3 linked regions of the Tamandua tetradactyla genome follow. The protein of the gene in region 2 interacts with the protein of the main gene of each other region in a pairwise test. Links are inferred from orthologs where the notes say so. Each region holds a gene or a part of one and is shown on either strand. Other genes may lie near its edges.

Region 1 (7,568 bases), on a different chromosome or scaffold from region 2:
GGTGTCCACACTGAGCGTTGCAGCACTTGTAGAAGGTGGTCATTGGCTCATCCGCAGAGCGGGTCTGAAGTTGCATGAAGTAGGCACGAGGATGTTCACATTTGGGACATGGCTCTGACAACAAGAACAAGCAAGTGGCCCAGTTTATACAGACATGACCATAACTACTGGAAGCAGTCTTACGTTAAAAGCCACGAAATCCCTCCGCTAAACTGCTCTTCCCTGCCAAGGGCACCTCACACAGGGAGTAAATGTGTAAGCAGCTGCATTATTCCCACTCTGCTCTAACCCTAAGGGAGTCAAATGCTTCCTCTTCCTCTCAGGGAACCCACTTCTCTTCTCCAGTCAAGTTTGATCCTGGTTAATTAACATGGAGAGTGACGCCCAGCTGCCATGAGGGTTCCCAGGTCTGCACCCAGAGCTCCCTGCCCCGTGCATCGTCCGACCAAGACCACGAGCACACACCCGCTCATCTTCAGAACTCACGACACACCCACCAACTTGTCCTCAGGGACCCACTGCAGCAGCTGTCCCTCAGGCTGCTCCGATCCAACTGTCACCACACACCCTACTCCCTTTCAAAGTGCCTCAAGGCACATATTTACCTTCAAAGTGATTTCACTTTGAGAAACTGGTCATGCTCTTGAAAGAAACTGACCCTCTCATACTACCAAAACACCCTTTCTCCTATTAGAGACACATACCGCCTTTCAGGGACACACTCTGCCAAGGCTAGCCTTTTAAGCCAGCAGAACTTGAGGATCTTCAGCAGGAAAAACGCGGCACCAGTCAAGAGTTAGTACTTCTCCCTTGCAAAACAGGTTATGTCTCGAACTCTCCATTCTCCTTCCCTGCTCACATGTATCTTTCTCAGAAATGAATACACACTTGAAAAAAGACTGCTGTTTAACGCTTTCTGATATTAACTTTTAAAATCTATATTAAAAAAGATTTTTAAAAATCTGTATTAGGACAATAAGACCCTAGGTTTTCTGCATGCCCTGGTTTTTACTACTACCATCGCTGTCACTGCCCTCACAGCTACCATCTGGTGGGTGCTTCCTACATGCCAGGCACCCCATCATTTACTTTATTGGCCCCAGACAGATGAAGAGATTCAAACAGGGTCCCCAGTAAGAGGTCGGCCTGAGAATCTAACCCAGGTCTCTATGTCTCCAAGGCTTCTATCAATATCGTTGGTATAACAAATCCATTTTTAAAGGAGGAAAACAATAATTTGCTTTCCATTCTTGGAAGCCCACACTATCATCACTAATGCTGAGACAGAGTGGCATAGTTGGCAGCCTCATACTATCCACCGCTCATGAACTGGAAAAGGTCTCCCCGCTCACCTGCAGTAGAGTCAACATTCTCCCAGGCAGCTGCTCCCCCAAGCACATCATCCACTTCTTTCAGCTTTGGATACTTCCGGCTTGTTACCTAACAAACAACAAGTTTCAGACTCTTAAAGTAAGTGAACGGTATAAACCCTGGGCACCAAACCACAAGCGCCCTCGTGTCTTCCCAGACTTCCTCCCTTCAACAGTCAGAAGATAAAAGTTCCTGCTCTCACAGACCAGTCCCTGGCACCACATTGGAACTCAGAGAATCTGTGATCAGGGCACACCCCGAGCCAAGGAGTGGGAGTCAACAGGTAGAGGAGAGCTCTGTATGGATTAGAGAGGCACAGAGCAGAAGAAAGAATGGCTTCAGACAGGCCTTCCTCCTCTCCCACCCCTCCAGGGTATAACTCAAAATGAGAGCAACAAATACAACCAAACTTCAAAAACAAAGAGCACCACTTAGTGGGGTAAACTGGTCACTCCCTGCACAGAGTTTCCGAAGCAGTCTATGCTTGGCTTTTATCAGACATCCTTGGAACTTCGGGTTTACACGAGTTTTGGACTCTATTGCTTATGGTTAAGTAGTTTGCAAACATTAAGAAGAATGAGATAACCAACGATGTCAAGAAAATCAAGATTCTCTATTTTCTCCCACTGAAATTAAATGTATTTAAAAGGAATTTTTCACAAGCATCAGATACTAAATAAATTTCAGATAAGTTTACATATTTAATAAAAACACTGGTTTTATATCATTTTGTGATGAGAGATGTCTTAAGCAGCAAAAATCTATATAGTCCCTAGCAACAATATTTATTATAATCAATTACAGTGTCTTGGTTTTCGGCTTTATTTCAATACATTTGAAAAAGCCTTTATAAAATAAGTGTATTTACTGACTTTATCAGTAAGACTCCAAAGAAAGTAATTTGTAGTGCTTCACAATTTTGTAACAAATTGTGTCATGTTTTATAAGGCTGTGTTGAAAATGTTTTAAAAGGAAATTTATAAATGTACAAATTTACATAATTTGGGTCTTTATAATTTTATGTTAGAACTAGAAGAGACCTTAAGGACTCTCCTCACATTATAGATCAGAAACAGGAAGTTCTGAAAGGTGAACTTAATTAACTGATGAAGTTTACAGAGCTAATTAATTAATAACAGTGTATACTGAATAAACCACTCCAGGACTCTCCCTCCTACAGGAAGCAAAAATTATTACTAAGAGCTGATAAGAAAAAAATTAGAGAAACTTAAAATGCATTTAACTTAAGATAATCTGCTCGGATAACACTTTATTTTACTAATGAGAAGGGATATTAGTAATAGACGAAAGCTTATCAATATCAGGACTTTAGATCAAGTAAAGACTTAGATGGGATGATGTGTCTTGATTATACAGTAAAATGGCTTGAAGTTCATTTTCAATCCAACTATGCTTCAGTACTTGCAGATTCTAAGATCACATCTTAAAGTCCAGGTTTCACTAAAAGAAGAAAGTAAAATATGAAGCCGCAACAAAATGTTGTTATAAATTTAGTTTGGGATATTTAATCCTGTGCTCAGGGAAAATCAGTACCTAAGTAAATTATCGCATTAATAATTATTCTTAAATTTCTAACCTCTAAGAGGTGAAACCTACACGTAAATAGAATACCCACTTCTAGAAATGGTAGAGGTGCAAATGCCAGGAATGTATTCTAATGGAAATGAAGACAACGATAAATTATGTATTTATCTGTTTAAAAGAAAAAAAGGAAAATGAGATAGCACGAACGTGCTCTACTCTAAAAAGTAAAGGTGTTGAAAACTCAACAATAAGAAAACAAAATGGGCATATTACAAAATGGGCAAAAGAGCTAATGGGTACCTCACGTCACCTCAACATCATGTTATTAATGAAATGTAAAACACAATAAAACACTACAAACCAAATACAACAAATATGTTATATTATAGAATTTTAAAACAAAAGGAGAGAGAGAGGAGAAAAATAAAAAGTAAAAAAAAAAGCCTCCAATGAGCTGAGACTCAGCATCAAGGGATTGAGAAAACCTTCTCGACCAAAAGGGGGAAGAGCGAAATGAGACAAAGTGTCAGTGGCTGAGAGATTCCAAACAGAGTTGAGAGGTTATCCTGGAGGTTATTCTTACGCATTAAGTAGATATCACCTTGTTATCCGAGATGTAATGGAGAGGCTAGAGGGAACTGCCTGAAAATGTAGAGCTGTGTTCCAGTAGCCATGTTTCTTGAGGATGATTGAATAATGATACAGCTGTCACAATGGGACTGTGTGATTGTGAAAACCTTGTGTCTGATGCTCCTTTTATCTACCTTGTCAACAAACGAGTAGAACATATGGAATAAAAATAAACAATAGGGGGAACAAATGTTAAAATTGATTGTTTGAAATACTAGTGAACAATGAAAGGGAGGGGTAAGGGGTATGGTATGCATAAATTTTTTTTCCTGTTTTCGTTTTACTTCTTTTTCTGAATAGATGCAAATGTTCCAAGAAATGATCATGATAATATGCAACTATGTGATGATATTGTGAATTACTGATTATATATGTAGAACGGAATAATATGTTGTTTTTGTTAATTTTTTTAAATTAATAAATAAATAAATTTTAAAAAATTATATGGGATGTTAGCAGGTGAGTCCTAGGGGAAAAAAATAAAACGGGAGGAGGACATAACGGGGGAGCTGCAGGGCGCTTCCTCAGGGAGAGGGAAGCGGGCAAAGGCCCGGCGCGGTGGGGGTCCTCCAGGAGGCCCGCGTCGCAGCGGCCGCACGAGCGAGCAAGGTCGGGGTACCGCCGCGGCTGCGCCCGCCCCTGGGGGCGGCCCTGGGGTACGAGGCGGCTGGAGGCCGCGGGAGTCCCAAAGCTGGGGGAGAGCGGAGGAAGGGCGCTGTGGGCTGACGGGGGGTGGCGGGGACCAAGCCGGTGTCCGTGGCGCGGCGGGCCTGCGGGACTCACCTTGCGGGTGATGTTGTGCACGTACGGGCAAGTGTTGCAGGCGAAGCGGTGGCAGCGCTGACCCTCCTCCACAATCAGCCCGTTCCCGCAACCCGGACAGAAAAGCAACATGGCGGCGACTCCCGGCAGTCTCCACGGCCCCAGCTTCCGGGACCCGTCGGTGCCGAGGCCTCGAGCTTTCATTGGCCTTGGCAGCCGCCTGTCCTTCAACTCACCAATAGACACGCCGCTTACGTGCGCCCTGTGGGACGGGCAGCAAACTGTCCTGCGGTTGTCATTGGTTATGATGACCGCCCGTCTTCCAGATGCACCAATGACCTGCCTCCCTCGCTCTGCGCGCTGCGGTCCCGGCGCGTGCGCACTCTGCCACCCTCGCGCGAGCCTGCGGGAGCGGCTCCCAGCACCCGCCGCCCTGGCCGAGGCGGGGGTCGGGGCGCGCCCACTGGCGCCGGAGGACGAGGAGGACGAGGAGGAGGCGCTGCCGCACTCGGAGGCGGTGGACGTGTTCCAGGAGGGCCTCGCCATGGTGGTGCAGGACCCGCTGCTGTGCGACCTCCCCATCCAGGTGCGCGGGCGGGCCCAGGTGCCCGCGCTGGCGGAGGCCCCGGGCGCGGGTCTCGGCGGCGCTCGCGGCGCGCGGTCGCAGCAGGTTTAAAAGCCGCAGTTAGTGCACAGAAAACCTTCGCGGTGGGCAGGCTTTAAGCACAAACAAGTCCAGAGCTGACTTCTCCATGAGTGGTGCATTTACACTCCCGTCGTCTCGGGTCGTGCGCGTGCCGGTGCCCCTTACCCTTCGCACGCTGGCCCTGTCTGGTGACCGAGGGCCCTCCGGGTGGAGCGACCAGCCCGGCGTCCTCTCCTGCCCAGCCTTTAGGCTGTAGGAAGCAAAGGCCTGGACCCGGAGTGGGCGCATCCTCCTGTGTCTGTACTCCTGGCCCCCACCCCACGCCCACCGCTTCTGTCCAGTCTGAAACTTGAACGTAAATGTGTGGGTGGAACACGAGTAAGCGGGAAATCTAGTTTACAGGCAAGACCCCCTTTCCCTCCCTACCCTTCATAAAACGTGGTGACCACTGTGTGGACACGGCCAGCTTGTTCTCCTTCATGCTGTTTGGGGTAATGAAGGAGCGCTGGGCCCCACACACCCCTTGGTCTTTTCTAGGTCACTTTGGAAGAGGTCAATTCCCAGATAGCACTAGAATATGGACAGGCAATGACAGTCCGTGTGTGCAAGATGGATGGAGAAGTCATGCGTAAGTGGCCCGTCCTCACAGGGCCAGGTGGCGAGACAACGTGTGGTGCATGGATGCCTTGTTGTTAGCAGGGGTGGGCAGGGCATGTGGGCTCTGACAGTCGGTCCCCACCACGGTCTCCCGTTTGTGTCCCCGGTGGCAGCTGTGGTCGTCGTGCAGAACGCCACGGTCCTGGACTTGAAGAAGGCCATCCAGAGATACGTGCAGCTCAAGCAGGAGCGGGACGGCGGCATCCAGCACATCAGCTGGTAGGTGGGGTGGTGGCTCCTGGGCAGCCTTTCGGAGGCAGGCGTGGGCCGGCGGGGAAGTAGCTCCAGCTCCAAGTGAGCACTGCTGCTGTAAAGCGGCGAGGGACGCACTCCCTGCCCCAAGAAGCTCGGGCAGTTCTTCCTCATCTGCGCCATCCTCATCTGGGCTCCTGGTGGTGCTGCTGTCTGCTGGCAGCCCCTCCCTTCCTTGCCTGGTTCTGCAGCCGAGGGTGTTTGGTCTTTTGAGAGCAGCACCTCCTTGGAGCTACTTGGAGGGGCGCACGTGGTGCAGGAATAGCACAGAAGGAGAGGCAGGCCGCTGCGGGTCCCAAAGGGCTGAGGCAGCAGGCATTCACCTGCGTCCCTCCCGCAGGTCCTACGTGTGGAGGACGTACCACTTGACGTCCGCAGGGGAGAAGCTCACAGAGGACAGGAAGAAGCTCCGAGAGTAAGTTCAGGCTGCATCTTCACCACTGGGAAGATTGGTTCTTGCCTCCAGGACCCCTCCTAGGGGAGAGCCAAGAGCACGTGGGTGCTGTTGCCTTCCCAAGAAGTCCTGTGGGGTCAGCAGAAGTCCTGGGGTGCTTCCAGGGAGCTGGGTCTTAGCCCTCCCGCGTTGTGGAGGACAGGCAGAGGAGCAGATTTGAGTGCACTGCAGATCTCACCAGCATGAGGAGTGCGTGCTGGGGGGCTGCATGTGCATGGAGAAGAGTGGGGCTGCGGGAGGACGGACATGTGGACTGTCCTAGATGAGCCTCTCAGGAGCTCAGGTGGGAGCCCCTGAGGAGTTTTGTGTAGGTCCAACACGGCCCTCTTTCCTTCTCTTTCAGTTATGGTATCCGGAACCGGGATGAGGTCTCCTTCATCAAAAAGCTGAGGCAAAAATGAACCACTGGACTAGGGCAGCTTTGTTCACTGGTGGCCAGGCTTTTTCTGCAGGAAAGAGCCCTTAAGTCACCGTCCATTTTCAGAGGCAGGTTGAGGTGGCATCACCCCAGGTGGGTTCTGCCTCCTCCCCCTCCCCCATGGGGCTGTCAGCAGGGCCCTCTGGGATGGGCAGCTCAGGCCCAGGCCCAGGCACTCCTCTCCTGCTTGGGTTGGCCAAGCTGACCCCTCCCTGGGCCCAGACATCCCGATGGCCTGGTGGATCCTAGAAGCCTGTGGGCCCAGCTTTGTATACAAAATAAATCTGCTTTTTAGTTTGAAAATTCAAAAAGGCAACTGTACCTTAAGCAGGAGGGACTGGGAATGAGGAGGGGTGAGGCCCAAGACTGCACACCTGTTCCCCCGACCATATAGCCCTGTTCCCGTTGCCTGTGTGGTGGGGAGGGAACAGAAGACGGGTACCATCTGTCTGAGCTAGTGGGGGAGTAAGGGCTGGGTCCTGGTGACCACAGTGGTAGTGTGGGGCATACAGCCACAGAAACCCCACAGGCTTTCCCAGCAGCAGTCTCAGACTCAGTGGAGGGGTGGTGGTGAAACGAGCAGCTGGACATGCAGGGAGGTGGGGCAGCGCCCCCGCAGGGCGAGGGCATGCCAGCGGGTCCCTGCAGTCCTGCTCCACCCTCACCTCACTGTGACCTCACTGGGAGAGCCTGTCCTGGGGAACTGGACATTGGAGGCGAGGGCCCTGGAGGCTGGGGAACCTCACTGGCTGCCCAGCCAGAAACCAGAAAGGAAGAGACAATTCATAGTAAGTTAGTGGCAGCTAAAACGCTCCCAGTCCATTTATTGGCCA
Region 2 (7,993 bases):
AATGAGCCATGTATAAAAAAAGGCTTAAAAACAAATAAAACCTAATAATACCAAGTCCTGGCAAAGATGGAAGCAACCGGAACTCTTTGGCATTGCTGGTTGGATTGCAAAAATGGTCTGATAAATTCGGGCAATAGTTTGGGAATTTCTTATATACACTAACCATAGGAATCCTTCTGGATATTAAAAACACCTAATATAAGATATTTTATATTGCCTATAAGAGTTAAGAACACCTAATACAAGATAAATTAAAACATACATTCACAAGAACCTGTATGCAAATGTTTATAGCAGGTTTATTCATGCTCATCTAAAAATGAAACTACCCTAATGTCCTTTAGTTTGGTCAATGGATAAACAAACTGTGGTATATCCAAACAATGGAACACTACTCAACAATAAAGAGTGAACCAGAGATACAAACAACGTGAATGAACCTCAAATGTATTATCTAAGTCAGGGATTGGCAAACTTTTCCTATAAAGAGCCAGAGAGCATATATTTTAGACTCTGTGGGCCATATGTTTTGTCAGAACTACTCAACTCTGCCACTGTACTGTGAAAAGAGCCACAGACGATATGCAAATAAAAAAGTGTGACTGTTCCAATAAAATTCTATGGACACTGAAATTTGAATTTCATATACTTTTCACGTGTCATGAAATATTCTTTTGATTTTTCTCTCTAACCATTAAAAAATTGTAAAGACCATTTTCAGGTCACCGGCTGTACAAAAACAGGCAGCAGCAGGCCATAATCCGCTGACGCCCGTGCCTAGTGGAAGCAGTCAGACTCAAACACTACACACATACTACATACTGCGTGATTCCATCTGCATGGTATTCTGGGAAAGGTAAAACTATCGAGATGGAAAACAAATCAGTGACTATGAGACTGGGTGTGATGAAAGGAATAACTACAAAGGGGTACAAGGGAACTTTTGAGGTGAAGGTATCATTTTATTCCTTGACTTTGTTGGTAGTTGTTCAACTATAAGCATTTGCCAGATAACTGTATAGTAAAAAAAGGTGAATATCAAGATGTAATGGCGAGGCTGGAGGGAACTGCCTGAAAATGTAGAGCTGTGTTCCAGTAGCCATGTTTCTTGATGATTGTATAATGATACAGCTTTCATAATGTGACTGCGTGATTATGAAAACCTTGTGTCTGATGCTCCTTTTATCTACCTTGTCAACAGATGAGTAGAACATAAATGGAATAAAAATAAGTAACAGGAGGAACAAATGTTAAATTTAGTTTGAAATGCTAGTGATCAATGAAAGGGAGGGGTAAGGGGTATGGTATATATGAATTTTTTTCTGTTCTCTTTTTATTTCTTTTTCTGTTGTCTTTTTATTTCTTTTTCTGAATTGATGCAAATATTCTAAGAAATGATCATGATGATGAATATGCAACTATGTGATGATGTGAATTACTGATTATATATGTAGAATGGAATGATCATATGTTAAGAATGTTTGTGTTTCTTTTTTGTCATTTTTAAAAAAAATTTAAAAATTAATAAAAAATTTTTTTAAAAAGGTGGCTACTACTGTATGTAAATTACACCTCAATAAACTTGACGATAAAATGTAATATAAATATATATGTAGAACGGAATGATCAAAAGTTAGAATGTTTATGTTTGTTTTTTGGTATTAAAAAAATAAAAATAAAAAAATAACATATTCATACAAAAAAAAAGTAATATAAATATATAAATTCCTGGGCTATCGGGAAGGGGTAATGGATGCTGTCAGTCCCAAAGAGTCAAATCTTTACATCATAACCAGAAAGGTTGTCTGCTATTAACTGATTCCCTTTCTGTGGTGCCTTGAAGAACATGCAATACCTCTTCTAGTATGAGGAGTACTGTTATGATTTTCTAGACACTCTTGACAAATGGAAGGAAAGTGATTTCTTCTCATACTTAGCCAACTGTGTCCAGAAAGACAAAGTTTCAACTGTGACCCGAGCCTGATCATACAGCACAACTAATATACTCGAATTTTATGACAGTCCTCCAGAAGCCCTACTTTTCAGGAAACTATTGCCTAGAAGAGTTAAAAACACCTAATGTGCTAGCTATCCTACCAACCAACACTTTCCATTTCTTTATAGCATTCAGGTTCCTTTGTATAGGGAAACAGCCCTTCCCAAAGCATATAGACCTGGTAAGAAGGTAAATCCACATGACTGTATTTGTGTTACCTAAGCTGCAAGGTCCCTGCAAGCATCTTTCTCTAGATCCTTCTGCTTACTGCAGTGGAAGGGCTAAGAGGAAAACATATGCCTTAAACTCAACCAAATGGACTTTCTCTTCAGGGAGTTTTATCTCGGGCTGAATCATCTCATCAACTAGACCTTCTCCACAATCTTTCTAAGGAAGCTAGGGGATTATGTGAAACAAAATCCTCTTCCTACATGATTCCATATTACAGTCTGCCAACGAGAAGCAGTCATGTGAGATTTGCAAGGTGAAAGAGGTCAGGCCAATGCTCTCTGGACAGAGGTATAGACAGATAAGTGGACTGACATGAGGTTAAAGCACCTTCTGGGTAGGTCTTTGAAACCCACTTATTTTGTTCCTGCAGTCAAAGTTCCAAAATACAGGCACTTGAGATTTACAGCAACTTCTGGACCAACTCTTAAGAACTACCCACTGTTGCTGCAGGCTGAGATGGTCAATAATTATTGGTAGACCATCACTCTTCCAGACTTCCAATTGTTGTAAAAGCCTGAATTACCACTTTTCATGCTTGGAACCTGTAAATTGGCTTCTGTTTCCTGATACAAATATGAGTGGAGACATAAAAACGTGAGACCGAAGGAGCATGGCAGAAACGAATGAGCTATTATATCCATCATCCCCTTTTTCCTTGATAAGAGAACCTTCAATTTAGCTAAGCACATGGCCCCAGAATACCATATTATTTTTCCTTTATGGCTGGTGTAGCTTATGGAAAATGAGTGGAAATACAATGTACAACTTTCTGAGAAGTATCTACAAAGAAGGGGATATGCTGTTCTTTACTCTTTTCTCTTGGCTGTAATATGGACATAACTGGCAGAGCTTTAGTAGCCATCTGGAATCGTGAGGTAAAGGACACATGCTGAGGATGGAAGAACAGCAACTCAAAAGAAACCTGGACCACAAGACTTTTGGAAGCCCCTCTATGAGTTTTGGACTTCTATTATGAGAAAGCAAAATATAATTCTTTCCATCCTGTTTAGGCCACTATTGGTTTTTACTCATAACCAAAACTAATCCTAAACATGCACAACTAGAATTCATTCCCAGCAAAGGCAGTGCTAGGGGGGAAACTACTGAGGAATTCTTGCTCTGCAGAAATAGAGTTATCTAGATCCAGTCCATACCCAGCCTAGTTTTTCCTTAGCCTTCCCTTTGATGCTGTGAGTTTTCCATATACCCTTTCACCAAATTACTTTTTTGCATAAGTTAGACAGAATGAGTTTCTGCAACTTGCAAACAAGGAACCCTTGAAACTTACAAACTTTGGGAAAATTTTAAGAGTGTCTGGGATGTGTGTCCACTGCCACGAAAAAAAAAAAAAAGCCTAGGATACAATTCTGGACTTGTATCACCCAAGTCATCCTACTTCCACTTTGTGCTGCTTGTCACGCCCAGTACCTGTGGCCCAGTAGTAAATATCCCAGTCATTACTGGGCTCATTAATCAGGCGATCATAGAGGTTCAGCTGTTTTTCTGTCATTTGGTGCAGATATTCTTTAGCAAAGAGGCTAAAATGAGAAAGAGAAAGGAGTTAAAAAAAAGCTGTCTCTGGTCAAAGAGAAATGACACCAAGACTCTAATTCCCCTACCTAAGGAGAATACAGTTTTCCAACATTCCCCTCTTTCTGCTTTCATAGAGTAGGCGGGCTCTTTTGGTTTCTATGGACTCATCAGTTCGCTCCTGCCACGGAGGCAAGGGAATTTCAATCATGTCTTTTTGAGAATCTGCTGGGCTGTCACCTCTGTAGAAGCGTCTGAATGATGTCACCCTGACCAAAGGAGACACTGGGCTGCGACCTGACAGAGCAAGCATCTGAAACAAATAAATCGTAAACATCTTTATAATAAAAACGACTACCATCACTGTCACTCACTCGATACTTACTAGGTGTTAAATGCTTTAGATGTCATTTAACAGCCAAGGAAACCAAGGCTCAAAAAGGTTAAATAACTTACTCAACTTCACCCAAACAGTAACGGAAATCTAGTCTTAACCGCAAGCATCTGTTCTTAACGGGTACCCTACAGGAGATTCTCCTAGCAGAAATATTGTCTCCTTTCTTTACATTCCCTTAAAATTACTACAATTAAGGTTTGTTTTCCAGTCTCTCGCCTGCGTTAAAAGGTGAGGATACAGAAATGACATTGTCCTAACCCCTCCCCCCTAAAGGCTCTCAATCTAGAGAGTAGCACAAAACCATCAAAACACGATCAGAAATCACAACAGATATCAGAGGCTTCAGAACAGGGAGGAATCACAAGAGGCGGTACGGCTTAATTTGCCCGGGAAGTAGGTGACACCTGCATTGGGTCCCGCACCACGACTGATCATGCAACGATATCACGGAACAGGCACAAAATGGGCTCACGAAAGGTTGGAAGCGACCCGAATCTCCTGAGCTGCAGGATCGGCCTGCCCTTGGCCTGCCCTTGCCCTCGGCTCTCCAGCAGCTGAGCCTTCCCGGCGGTCTCTATGACTGCAGCACAAGACGAGACTCAGCCAACGCTGCCTCCTGCCCGGGACCCTGGAACCTTACTATTCTCTCTCACCCGCGCCAGAGTCGGGAATACCGTGACCACTGCCATTTTCCCCGAACAGCACCAGAAGCCTTCAGCCCAGCTACTTCCGGGAATGCCCGGGTAGCAGGACCCGAGGACTTCAGCGCGAGGGTCTGAGCCGGAAGACGCGTCCCTGCGAATAGCGGAAGTGGCAATGCGTGTGACGCAGGCGGCGGTGAGGGCGGGGCCTGAGGCTGAGAGCGGTTCGCGCGCTTCGGGCCTAGTCCGGACTCGCCGCCGCCATATTCCCGGTAACGGGGGCGCGCGGCCACGGGCCGGCGGGGCCGGAAGAGGGGTCGGGGCCGGCGCTGAGGCGGGGAGGGGGTCGGTTGAGCCTGGGGCGTCAGCAGTTGGAGGGCGGAGGGAGGCGCGGGGCTTTAAGGGAGGTGGCCGAGGACGCCGGGCCCGGTCTGTGGGGAGGGAGCTGGGCGGGCCTAGCCTGGTGGGCGAGGACTCGGCCCGGATGGGGAAACGAGGCGGCTGGAGGCGGTGCGGATCCGGGCGGAGCTCCCGGTCCCGCAGGGGCTCTGGTCGGGGCCACCCCGGGGCTTAGGCAGGTTCGGCGGGCCGGGGCTGAGGGCTTCGTCGTAGTCGTCCTTCGCAGCGCAGCCGGAGGGCCCTTAGCAGCTGAGGCCTCGACTTTCCCGTCGCGCCATAGACGGCTGCGACGCAGTTCGAGCCAGGCCCGAGGGTGATGGGCAGCTCGCCCCGCGAGCCCGGTGGCCTGGGAGAGCGGGGCGGGGTGGGGGGGACGGGAGGGGGGCGGCGCGAGGCCGGGGGCGGGGCGGGAGGGGGGCGAGCCTTGGCTGCCGGGATGCTGCATCTCTAGAGACGGGAGGGTGGCAACCCTCGCCCTCCTTCCAGCTCAGGACCCTCTTTCTAACTCTTACTCTTTTCTGGATATCGCAGTGTCATCTTTTTTACTTCGTCGGTTCTCTGCACTCGAGATCTTCCTTCCGAAGCCATGTCTGAAGGGGTGGACTTGATTGATATATACGCTGACGAGGAGTTTAATCAGGTAAGGAGTTATCAGGAGCATCGTGGTATTCGTCCATCAGCTAAGGAATCACTTCCAGCAAACTTGGCAGTGGTTCCAAGCAGTGCCGGGCCTTAAGGACTTACTAAGCCTGGACACTCCCATCAAGTTTAAAGTTTTTCCTCTATCAGAGACCTCTAAAACTACCTAATACCCCGCTTTATGTTCATTTGAGCCTTTAGGCTTAATTTTAAAGAGTTTGATTTAAGAGCAAATAAAAACTCAGGTTTAATTGAATGGTGAATTAACTTGTGGAACTTGCTCCCTCAGGAATCCAAAGGTGGATGTGCTTCTCCTCAGTGACTAACCACACTTAAAAATCAGAATTGTATTTGGTGCACTGTTCATGAGGATGATTAAATAATTTTGATTTCTGTTCTTTTCCATTCTCTCACACTGCAACTGGAAAATGGTGTAGTCCCACCCCTTCGAAGGGCATAGTATAAAGCATTTCATTTCAGCTCTCCGTTGTTTTAGTAGAAAGGCATAGTATAGAGCATTTCATTTTAGCTCTTCAGTAAGTAGCTTGTCTCCTTTCTTGAGAAGTCCATAGCATTTTGGTGTAATAAATTTTATTGATGAACCTTACTGTGCCTAGGGGGAAAACGGGTGAAGGTGTTGAACTTACCAGTTGAAAAGCAGATATATACCCACTCATCTATCCAAGGGTGGGTTTGTTGGTTTCTTAACAAAGAAACCAAGGTTTCTTGGTTTGAATATTGAAAAATGTTAAATATAAGTATCTTTTCTCTTAAAGGGATACTTTTAAGTACATTTTGGTTATGAAATCTTGAGTTCAAATCTCAAGAATGTTTGTAAGTCTCTGCCTAAAGTTTACTAACACCTTGCTTGGTTTATTTTCAGCACTGGACTACTTGGGCAAACTGGTCTCTCTGTGGGCATCTTCCAGTTAGTTCACATGAGAACCTGAAAAGAAGATAATAGAATACTAGGGGGGTTAGTGCCCTGGTTGGGCGCTGACTTTGATATGAGGAAATAGGAAAGGTTGATAGGTGCCATTATTTTCACTAAGTTTGCATTTTGGGGGCGGGGTGGTGGTGGATGGATTGCTGCTTTTTTTATTATTAATAATTCCAATAATACAAACCCTATTCCAAGAATTCCAGCATACCCCCGCCCCTAGATCCTCCAATTTTAACATTTGGCCACCTTTGTCATGTCATTTTCTTTACCTATTTATGTATATTTTCTGAACATTTAAGAGCAGGTTGCATGTATCATAGTCCTTGAACATTTGGTACTTCCATGTACATTTTCTGAGGACGAGGGTGTTTGTTTATATAATCACCTTAAATGAATTTATCAAGTTCAAGAAATTTATCATTTATATCATGCTTGTATTCTATATTCCAATTCTTTTTTAAGTCCCATTAATGCCCTTTTGAGCATTTTCTCCATTTTTAGGTCCTATATAGTGTCATAATTGCATTTAAATGCCGTTACCTTTTTAGTTTTTTCATTCTTTATTTTTCTTAAATTGTGGGAACATATGTAAAACATAATCTTCCAATTCCAACCTCTTTGAAGCGTACCATTCCATGGGATTAATGATCTTCACAAAGGGCAGTACCTTCACCAACCATTACTATAACTTTGTCTTCACTACAAACACAAATCCTGCACTCATTTTACAGTATCTCCCCATTGCTTCTGTCTGACACCCCTGTTAATCTGTGTACTACTTTCTGTTTCTGTGAGTTTGCATATTCTCATACTTTCTTTGTAGTTATCAATGGGATTAAATTTAACGTCCTAAATCTGTAACAGTCTCTTTTGCGTTGATACCATCTTAACTTCAATAGCATACATAAACTATGTTCCCATACTCTTCTGTCCCCTTTTTGTAGGTCTTATCACAAACTACATTCTCATATATTATGAGTACCAAAGCTTTGATTTGTCATTACATTTTTTTTTTAACGTGGGCAGGCACCGGGAATCGAACCTGGGTCCTCGGGCATGGCAGGCAAGCACTCTTACCTGCTGAGCCACCGTGGCCCGCCCCATTTGTCATTACATTTTATGCATTTGCTTTTCAATCTTGTAGAAAGAAAAAAAGTGGATTTACAAAGATACAATAGTATTGCTGTTTATATTTACCTTGTCATTTTCTTTACTGG
Region 3 (7,336 bases), on a different chromosome or scaffold from region 2:
CAAATATTTGTGACCCTGAGACTCGTTTTTTCTTCCAGAGGCCTCACCTCCGAGAACGGACATGGTAGCTATCTTCCCGCCTGGGCCGCCGTGTCCGGTCACTGCTACTAGACCAGGAGCGGCTTCTTCGTCGTTTATGCTTTCGGCTCCGATAGTGTTCATGGTAACTCCCCCGGCTGCCTCGCTCTGAGGAATGGTATCTTCGGGGATGAGGCATCTGGAACGGAAGGAAAAGTGGAAATAGTGAGGGATGCTTGGAGTTTCCAGAGGTCCCCCTACAAGGACCCACTATTCCAAAGATGCTAACCTGCTTTCTGCTCTTTTACCCCTACCTCTTTTCACCATTCACAACTTCTTCAGTCTTCCTCTGTGCTTACAATTCCTCCTGATTGGAATGCGTACTCAACTACTGTGACTGAAAACTCTGGGACGCTCCCCTTCCACCCATGCTGCTCATTCCTCTAACCTCGTTTTCCCCCAACACGGCTCCGTGAAAGACTCTCAGGTCTGGGCCATAATTCTATCGTGATAAGACTGTGTGACTGACAGAAACTGTCACAGTCCCAAGACAGATCTATGCCACAATGACTTTCTCATAACAAGTGAATAAAGCTATAGCATACACTGTTAGGCTTTTTCAGTCCCTAAGAATGTATCTTATCTCCCAGCTAGATGATCAGTATTCTGAGAGTGGGAATCCAGTTCATAGATTTCTAGATATAGTAGGTATATACCAAATTTAAGCAAGTTTAAGAAATCTGGGCCTGAATCCTTGAACTACTGTCTCTCACATCTTTGTGAGAGGTTTTAATACAGGAGGCCCCAAAGTACAATCAGCTTTCCATCCGACTCCTCCCCTCTTGTGCTAGTAGAGAATAACTATTTTTAATTAATATCAAAATTATGTGGCTGACTCGATAAATCCCAGAAGGACTTGAACAGTGAATAAAAAGTATCTGTAAAGTCCCCTTGGAGGAATGGTGAGAAAGGGGGAAAATTCAACTGCCCCAAGTGGAGAATTCTTGATATCCTCACAAGCAGTGCAGACAACCAAAGCAATAGGCTAAGCCTCCAATCTTGGGGTTTGTTCATATGAAACTTAACCCCACAAAGGAAAGGTTAAGCCTACTTAAAATTAGGCCTAAGAGTCACCTCCACGAGAACCTCTTTTGTTGCTCAGATGTGGCCTCTCTCTCCAGCCAACACAACAAGCAAACTCACTGCCCTCCCCCTCTCTACGTGGGACATGACTCCCAGGGGTGTGGACCTTCCTGGCAACATGGGACAGAAATCCTAGAATGAGCTGGGACTTAGCACCAAGGGATTGAGAAAACCTTCTTGACCGAAAGGGGGGTAGAAAGAAATGAGACAAAATAAAGTGTCAATGGCTGAGAGATTCCAGAGTCGAGACATTATCCTGGAGATTATTCTTACACATTAAAAATAGACGACACCTTTTTAGTTAAGGCATAACAGAGAGGCTGGAGAGAACTGCCTGAAAATGTAGAGCTGTGTTCCAGTAGCCACGTTTCTTGAAAATAATTGTATAATGATATAGCTTTCACAACGTGACTGTGTGATTGTGAAAACCTTGTGTCTGATGCTTCTTTTATCTACCTTATGGACAGATGCGTAAAACATATGGATTAAAAATAAATAAAAAATAGGGGGAACAAACGTTAAAATAAATTTAGTAGACTGAAATGCTAGTGATCAGTGAAAGGGAGGGGTAAGGGGTATTATACGTATGATTTTTTTTGTTTTCTTTTTTTTGAATTGATGCAAATGTTCTAAGAAATGATCATGATGATGATATACAACTATGTCATAAAAAAATGTTCATATTGTGTGTTGATTGGTTTTATTAAAAAAAAATTACTTGGTTGAGAACTGGCCACCCTCTAGTTACTGGATATAGAACTGCAAGGTGCACAGATGTTTTTTAGAGAAAGAATCAAGACAGAAATCATTGTCATAATCTAAGAAGAAGGGAATAGGAGGGCAGAACAAAATGAACAGACCCAGGGATTCAGAAGTAGTGGTGGTGGTGGTAGGATAAAGTGTGCAAAAGAATTAATGACTCTAACATCTGGCTCCCATTCTGAGCCACTGCTTCCCAACTTCCTCAAATTGGGGCGGGTGGTATTTGACTCATTCCTGGCCTAATGGGAATAGGAGAAAACCAATAAGATGCAAAGCACAGGTAATTCAACCTTGTTTAGTTAACACAGTCACATAAATAACACCTTACCACATACATACTGCCACCAAAGTTCCTCACAGTCCTCCTTCCCACAAAGCATATATAGCCTAGAACACTTCTCAACTTAGAAATCCTATTTTTACTTTTCACATTTAAAAAACCCAACACACACTCAAACTCTTTTCGTATCCCACGTGACACACACCGTGTCTTCTCCCTCAGCCTTGGTTCAACTTTGATGTTTTGCTCCTTCTCATCTCTGGGACCTCTCCTATCCTTTACTCCATCACCCGTCTCCTACTTTGGCCCCTCGCAAGTTTCCTATGGACCTCCCCAGACAGATCTAAGGCAGGTCGACCTCTTTCCACTTCATCTCCCTACTCCCCCATTCTGCCACTTCCCAAGTCTCAACTCTCTCATAATCTCGCCCCCGTCCCTTGCCCCCAATTCCATCCTACCCCCGCCCGCCCCGCAGGGCGCGCCCCCACAGCCGCCATCTTTCCGCGCGAACCCGCAGCCCGCGCGCTCACCGTTCTGGCGGCGAGGCCCGTGCGCTTGTCCCACAGGAAGTCCGTGATGGCGGCGGCACTGCGGCCGGAGTCCCGGCACCCCCGCGGCGACGAAGTGCAGCTCCACACCCCCCAACCCAGAACCCTGGGACCTCCCGCCCCGTTCCCGGGCTCCGCTCCAGTCCCGCCCGCCCCTGCTCCGTCCCCGCCCCCAGGATCCACTTGGCGCCGCTCGCACCGCCCCCGCCCGGGGCCCGATCCCAGCTCGGTCTCCGGATCTGGCCTCTCCGATCCGCCGCCGCCACCGTGAGCGAGCACGTACGCACGCACGCAGGCACGCACTGCGTCCCTTCCCAGCTACCCCTGGTTTTCGCCCCCAGGGGCGCGCACGCCATCGCGTGCTCACGTAGGTCGTGGGCGTCCGCCCAATGGGGCGGGAGAGATGCCGAGGGTGGATGTTCCTGGGGGCGAAGAAGGAGTGGCAGGGGCGCACGGACACCTACTAGACCAGTTTGCCCCGCCTCCTCTCGGTCTCCAGTCCTTTACCCTTTTCATCGAGATTTCTGTGGCTTTGTTGAATGAAAGGTGTGTCGTCTCTCCGCAGACCTTATCTTGAGAGGCTTGGCGTGAGGTCTGTTTCACCAGCATAGCCGAAAAATATCCAGTTTTTTAAAACAGTACCTGTCTAACCGCAGCAAAGAGGGGTTCCCAACCTTTGTTCTGAACAAAAGTTATTCATGTGTGTGGGCGGGGGCATGGCCGTGGAAGTAAAGTGTGAAAAATGGAAGGCTGAACAATCAGGTGCCGAAAAAGGGAAATCACTTGAGAACTGTATCCTACGTGCCTTGTACGAAAAATGTGAGAAATATAAGTTCACCGAATCGGGAAAGAAAAAAAAGAGAGAGAGAGGAAGAGACCTTGAGGCTAACTAGGTGAGGTCAGAAACGCTATAGAAGGAATTGACAGTTGACCAGAAAGGAAACTTGCAAGGGAAATTTAAAAATAACCCAAGGATAACTGTATTAACTCAAGGAATATCAGAGGGTAGCTTAGATGGGGGAGTAACCAGATCAAGATTAGACGAGTTAAGCAGCAACGGCTTAGAAGTTCACTAAAATAGGAGTGGAAAGGTAACGAAGAGGTTGGGGAGAAAGACCGAATAGTTCACTTCGTTCTACCATTAACACTTTCTCGGATCATTCATTCATTTGACAAGCATTTACTGAGTGCTACTACGTCCAGCATTGCGCCAGGCTCGGGATTCCTGTTCACCAGAGCCTCACAATGTAATGGCAGAAAAAGATCTGTAAACAAATAATGGCAGCCATATGACAGGCACCGTTATCAACTATGGTGTCATGGTTGCTGTAAAAAGCTCTAGGCTAAAACACTGAATGAAGCTGCATCTGAGCTATAGGTTAAAAAAAAAAAAAAAAAAAAAGCTCTAGGCTCGACCCTGCCTGGGAAAAGAGAGTTGGAAATGTGCTTTTAGGCTTCCCAGGGGAAATCAGAACCAAGTGTTGGAAAGTAAATTGGAGGAGCATATAACTAGGCAAGGAAAACATTTGCAAAGGTCTGGAGATGAAACAGAACAAAGCATTTCAGGGAGCTGTTAGCATGTCAGCATGATTGGAGCCTTGGACTTCAAGAAGACTATCAGAAGAGAGGTTGTTGAAACTTAGTCTAAATTTCGCAGGGCCTTATATGCCATGTTAGGGAGTTTAAATACTATCCTAGGAAGAAGAGGAATTTCGAAGGACTTTAAGCAAGGGAAGGTAGCTACATTTGGATTTTAGGAAGGTAACTCTAGCAGTGTGTCGAAAAAGAATTGGTCTGGGAGAGGTCGGAGCCCCTTTTAGAGGCTTCTGAAATAATCTACGGAGAAAATGGCCCAGACTTAAAGTAAGGCAATGGCAGTAAGAAATGGAGGAAAAGAAGTTGAGATATTTAGAAACTTAAAGCACTTAACATCACATAGCACTGTAATTTCCCTGTGTTCTGGTCTCCATGGGTATAGCCAAGCAGTGGCTTGATGGCTGGGACTTTCGTACTCATATTTATATTCTTGGCGTCCGCTAATGCCAGGCAGAGTCGCGCTTGGTGAATGAATTCGGAAATGAATAACTAGGGGTAACAGCTTAGAAGAGAAGAGATTGAAAGGGAATATGCCTAGGAGAGCGCTAAGAGAAGGTGGAATTGAAGAGGACAAAAGTCCGTGGGAGACAGTGGGTAAGAATTTAAAAAATCATTCCCCATTCCTACCGCTGGCGTTCAGTCCCATCGCTTTCCCCAGTGTCAGGAGACACAACCCACGCCGGTTTTTCCCGCCTCCTGCGGGAGGCTCCACCCCCTGGCGCTGTGTGGTTGGACGCCCTCCCCCTTCCCGCCGGACTCTTGGCCACGCCCCCTGGCTCAGGCTGCGCGTCCCCGCCTTCTCGGCGATCTGCACTTGGAGAGTCACCTCAGTTTTGCTAAGCCACGCCCACCCCGGGACCTCCCGCCCCCGCCCGCACTGCCTGGCTTTCGCGCGGCCCTCGCCAGGGGGCGCCACGCAACCCGCCCGCCCGCCAGGCTGTCGCACACACCCCCCCTCCGCCCAGCGCCAGGGCAGCTCCCAGCCGACGCCGCCTCCGCTCCGAGCCCGCCGGGCTATGCAGGCTCCGGCTCCGGCTCCGGCAGGGGTCAGGGAGGTGTCCCCGATGGCCGCGGTGGGATCCAGGAGGCCAAGCGTGTAAACTGGCGGGCGTCATGGAGGCAGAGCGGCGGCCAGCGGCGGGGGCCGGCGACGGGGCGACCCCTGGGCTGGAGGCGGCGCCTCCTGCTGCCCCGGTCCCTGCGACCGCGGCTTCGGGTCAGATTCCCGGGTCCGGGTCTGGGACCGGGTCCGAGCCCAAAAGGAGGCAGCTCAGGACGCTGCTCCAGCCCACGGTCAACAAGTTCTCGCTTCGCGTGTTCGGCAGCCACAAAGCAGTGGAAATCGAGCAGGAGCGGGTCAAATCTGCGGGGGCCTGGATCATCCATCCCTACAGCGACTTCCGGTACTGGGGGCCGGGCAAGGAGGGCGGGGGACACAGACCCCACCCCCGTGGGTGCAGTACAGGGTCCTCTCCAGCCTCCTTGGTCACTTCATTTCCGGCACAGGGGTCCCTGGGTGGGGCGGAAAAGTCACCTCTCCCCACCTAGCCTGGGAATTCCTGGGTGGGGGGTATCTGGCCGGAGGTCCTCGATGATTTCTCGGGCTGGGGAAGCCCAAAGGGGCAAGCAGATAACAGGGAATCTTCGGGGATCTGGAGTTCCCGTTTCAGGAACCTGGGACCCATCTGGACCACAGGGAATGTCAGGGTTATGGATCCCTGCCTCCTCCAGTCCTGCTTGCTGGGGATCTGGGATATTATTCCAAGGTTCAGGGTCAGTCTTAGGGAGAAGCCGAGCTCCGCTGTCTTCCACCGGTCAGCATTTGCCTAGGTTAGGAATGCCGAGGATGGGGGAGTGGGGAGGTACCCGATAACGGCTCTGGTCTCTGTCCCTGGTGCTGAAGGCGGTGGGCCGGAGCCGGGGCCGGTACTTTGAGCGATTGAGGCAACTGCAGCGGGACACGGCCACCGCCCAGGTGATTCCCAAAGAGAAGAAACGAGGGTTGGGGGTGGGGCCATTTCACGGTCCCCTTCAGGCTGTACCTCTACATCAAGGTCGTTAGAGGAGGAGAGTAGCCCTGTCCTTGGGGGAAATGAAGGACAGCTTTTAAATGGGCCAGGGATGGGTGCAAAGCACCTACCCTGGGGAAAGAAAGGACAAGGTGTGACTCAGGAGCTGAGCACACAGAACTGGAGACCTAGACATCGTCTTGAATCCACAGACATGTGCCCTCCCTAATGCTTCTCCTTGCCCCATTGTTCCTTCCAGTCCTCTCTTTTCTTCATTCCCCCTACCAGTGTACCTTTCCTAGTCTGTATGGGTCTCCTTCCCTTGCCCCATTTCACTCTCAGAAACGTGTGTCCCCCCTTACGATCGGGATTCTTTTCTGTCCTCTCTACTGCATCACCCGCTGGGCTTGTGACCGCCTGTGAGTCAGGCTGTGAAGATGCTCTGTGGTTAGGCAAGCCCTCTTTCTCTCTCCTTTCTTAGCTCACAGTACAGGATTTCTCCTCAGCAGCCGAGGGGGGTTGAGGGCTTCTTGTTTGTTGAAAGTACAGTCTGAGAGATTCCTGGAGGCCTGGAGGGAAATCCTGGTCTTGGGGACCGCCAAGCCCCTTTCAGGGTCTGAAAGGATTAATACCGCAGTCAAAACCATAAGGGGCTGGATCCAAGGTTCATGCTAGGATTAGATGTGTTCTCGAATTAAACCTCTATATTAATTGAGACCCTATATAAATTGAGACTAAAGATAGTCCAGTAATTTTCTCTGAATGAGGAATTCAGCTCCCTCCTGACATCTTTCCACAGCTTCTGCCACAGGAAATGGGTTTCCCCTGCTCAAGCCCTTGCCTGTGCTCAAGCAGAGGCCCAGAGGGCATAGGGGTGTAAGAAGAGGAAGGGAACACAGCCTTGCTATCTTGCTACCTCCTCTGGAGCTCCTCCTTAAGTGCAGCCCTGTCTGAGGGGCTGTGTGGGGAAGACGGACATC

What was found.
Region 1: the proteins of CPSF7 (region 2) and SNRNP25 interact in binary tests that used the Homo sapiens proteins (3 or more experiments, as listed by UniProt). The two-hybrid records come from large-scale screens. The link is inferred for Tamandua tetradactyla from reciprocal best matches to the Homo sapiens genes CPSF7 and SNRNP25.
Region 3: the proteins of CPSF7 (region 2) and CLK2 interact in binary tests that used the Homo sapiens proteins (3 or more experiments, as listed by UniProt). The link is inferred for Tamandua tetradactyla from reciprocal best matches to the Homo sapiens genes CPSF7 and CLK2.

Annotation. Positions count from the first base shown.
Region 1 is NC_135349.1:57,278,558-57,286,125, reverse strand, and holds SNRNP25 (U11/U12 small nuclear ribonucleoprotein 25 kDa protein), read left to right. Parts: upstream 1-4,693; 5' UTR 4,694-4,852; coding exon 4,853-4,894; intron 4,895-4,951; exon of another isoform or gene 4,952-5,491; coding exon 5,492-5,582; exon of another isoform or gene 5,583-5,724; coding exon 5,725-5,830; exon of another isoform or gene 5,831-6,203; coding exon 6,204-6,278; exon of another isoform or gene 6,279-6,660; coding exon 6,661-6,718; 3' UTR 6,719-7,046; downstream 7,047-7,568. Other genes in the region: POLR3K (DNA-directed RNA polymerase III subunit RPC10), read right to left, coding at 1-114, 1,353-1,440, 4,330-4,440.
Region 2 is NC_135335.1:13,708,881-13,716,873, forward strand, and holds the start of CPSF7 (cleavage and polyadenylation specificity factor subunit 7), read left to right. Parts: upstream 1-4,947; 5' UTR 4,948-5,067; exon of another isoform or gene 5,068-5,140; intron 5,141-5,268; exon of another isoform or gene 5,269-5,373; intron 5,374-5,725; 5' UTR 5,726-5,780; coding exon 5,781-5,834; intron 5,835-7,993. Other genes in the region: SDHAF2 (succinate dehydrogenase assembly factor 2, mitochondrial), read right to left, coding at 3,656-3,765, 3,847-4,070, 4,808-4,843.
Region 3 is NC_135330.1:8,215,283-8,222,618, forward strand, and holds the start of CLK2 (dual specificity protein kinase CLK2), read right to left. Parts: upstream 3,023-7,336; 5' UTR 2,734-3,022; intron 218-2,733; coding exon 48-217; intron 1-47. Other genes in the region: HCN3 (potassium/sodium hyperpolarization-activated cyclic nucleotide-gated channel 3), read left to right, coding at 5,461-5,750. UniProt on the Homo sapiens protein: Dual specificity kinase acting on both serine/threonine and tyrosine-containing substrates. Phosphorylates serine- and arginine-rich (SR) proteins of the spliceosomal complex.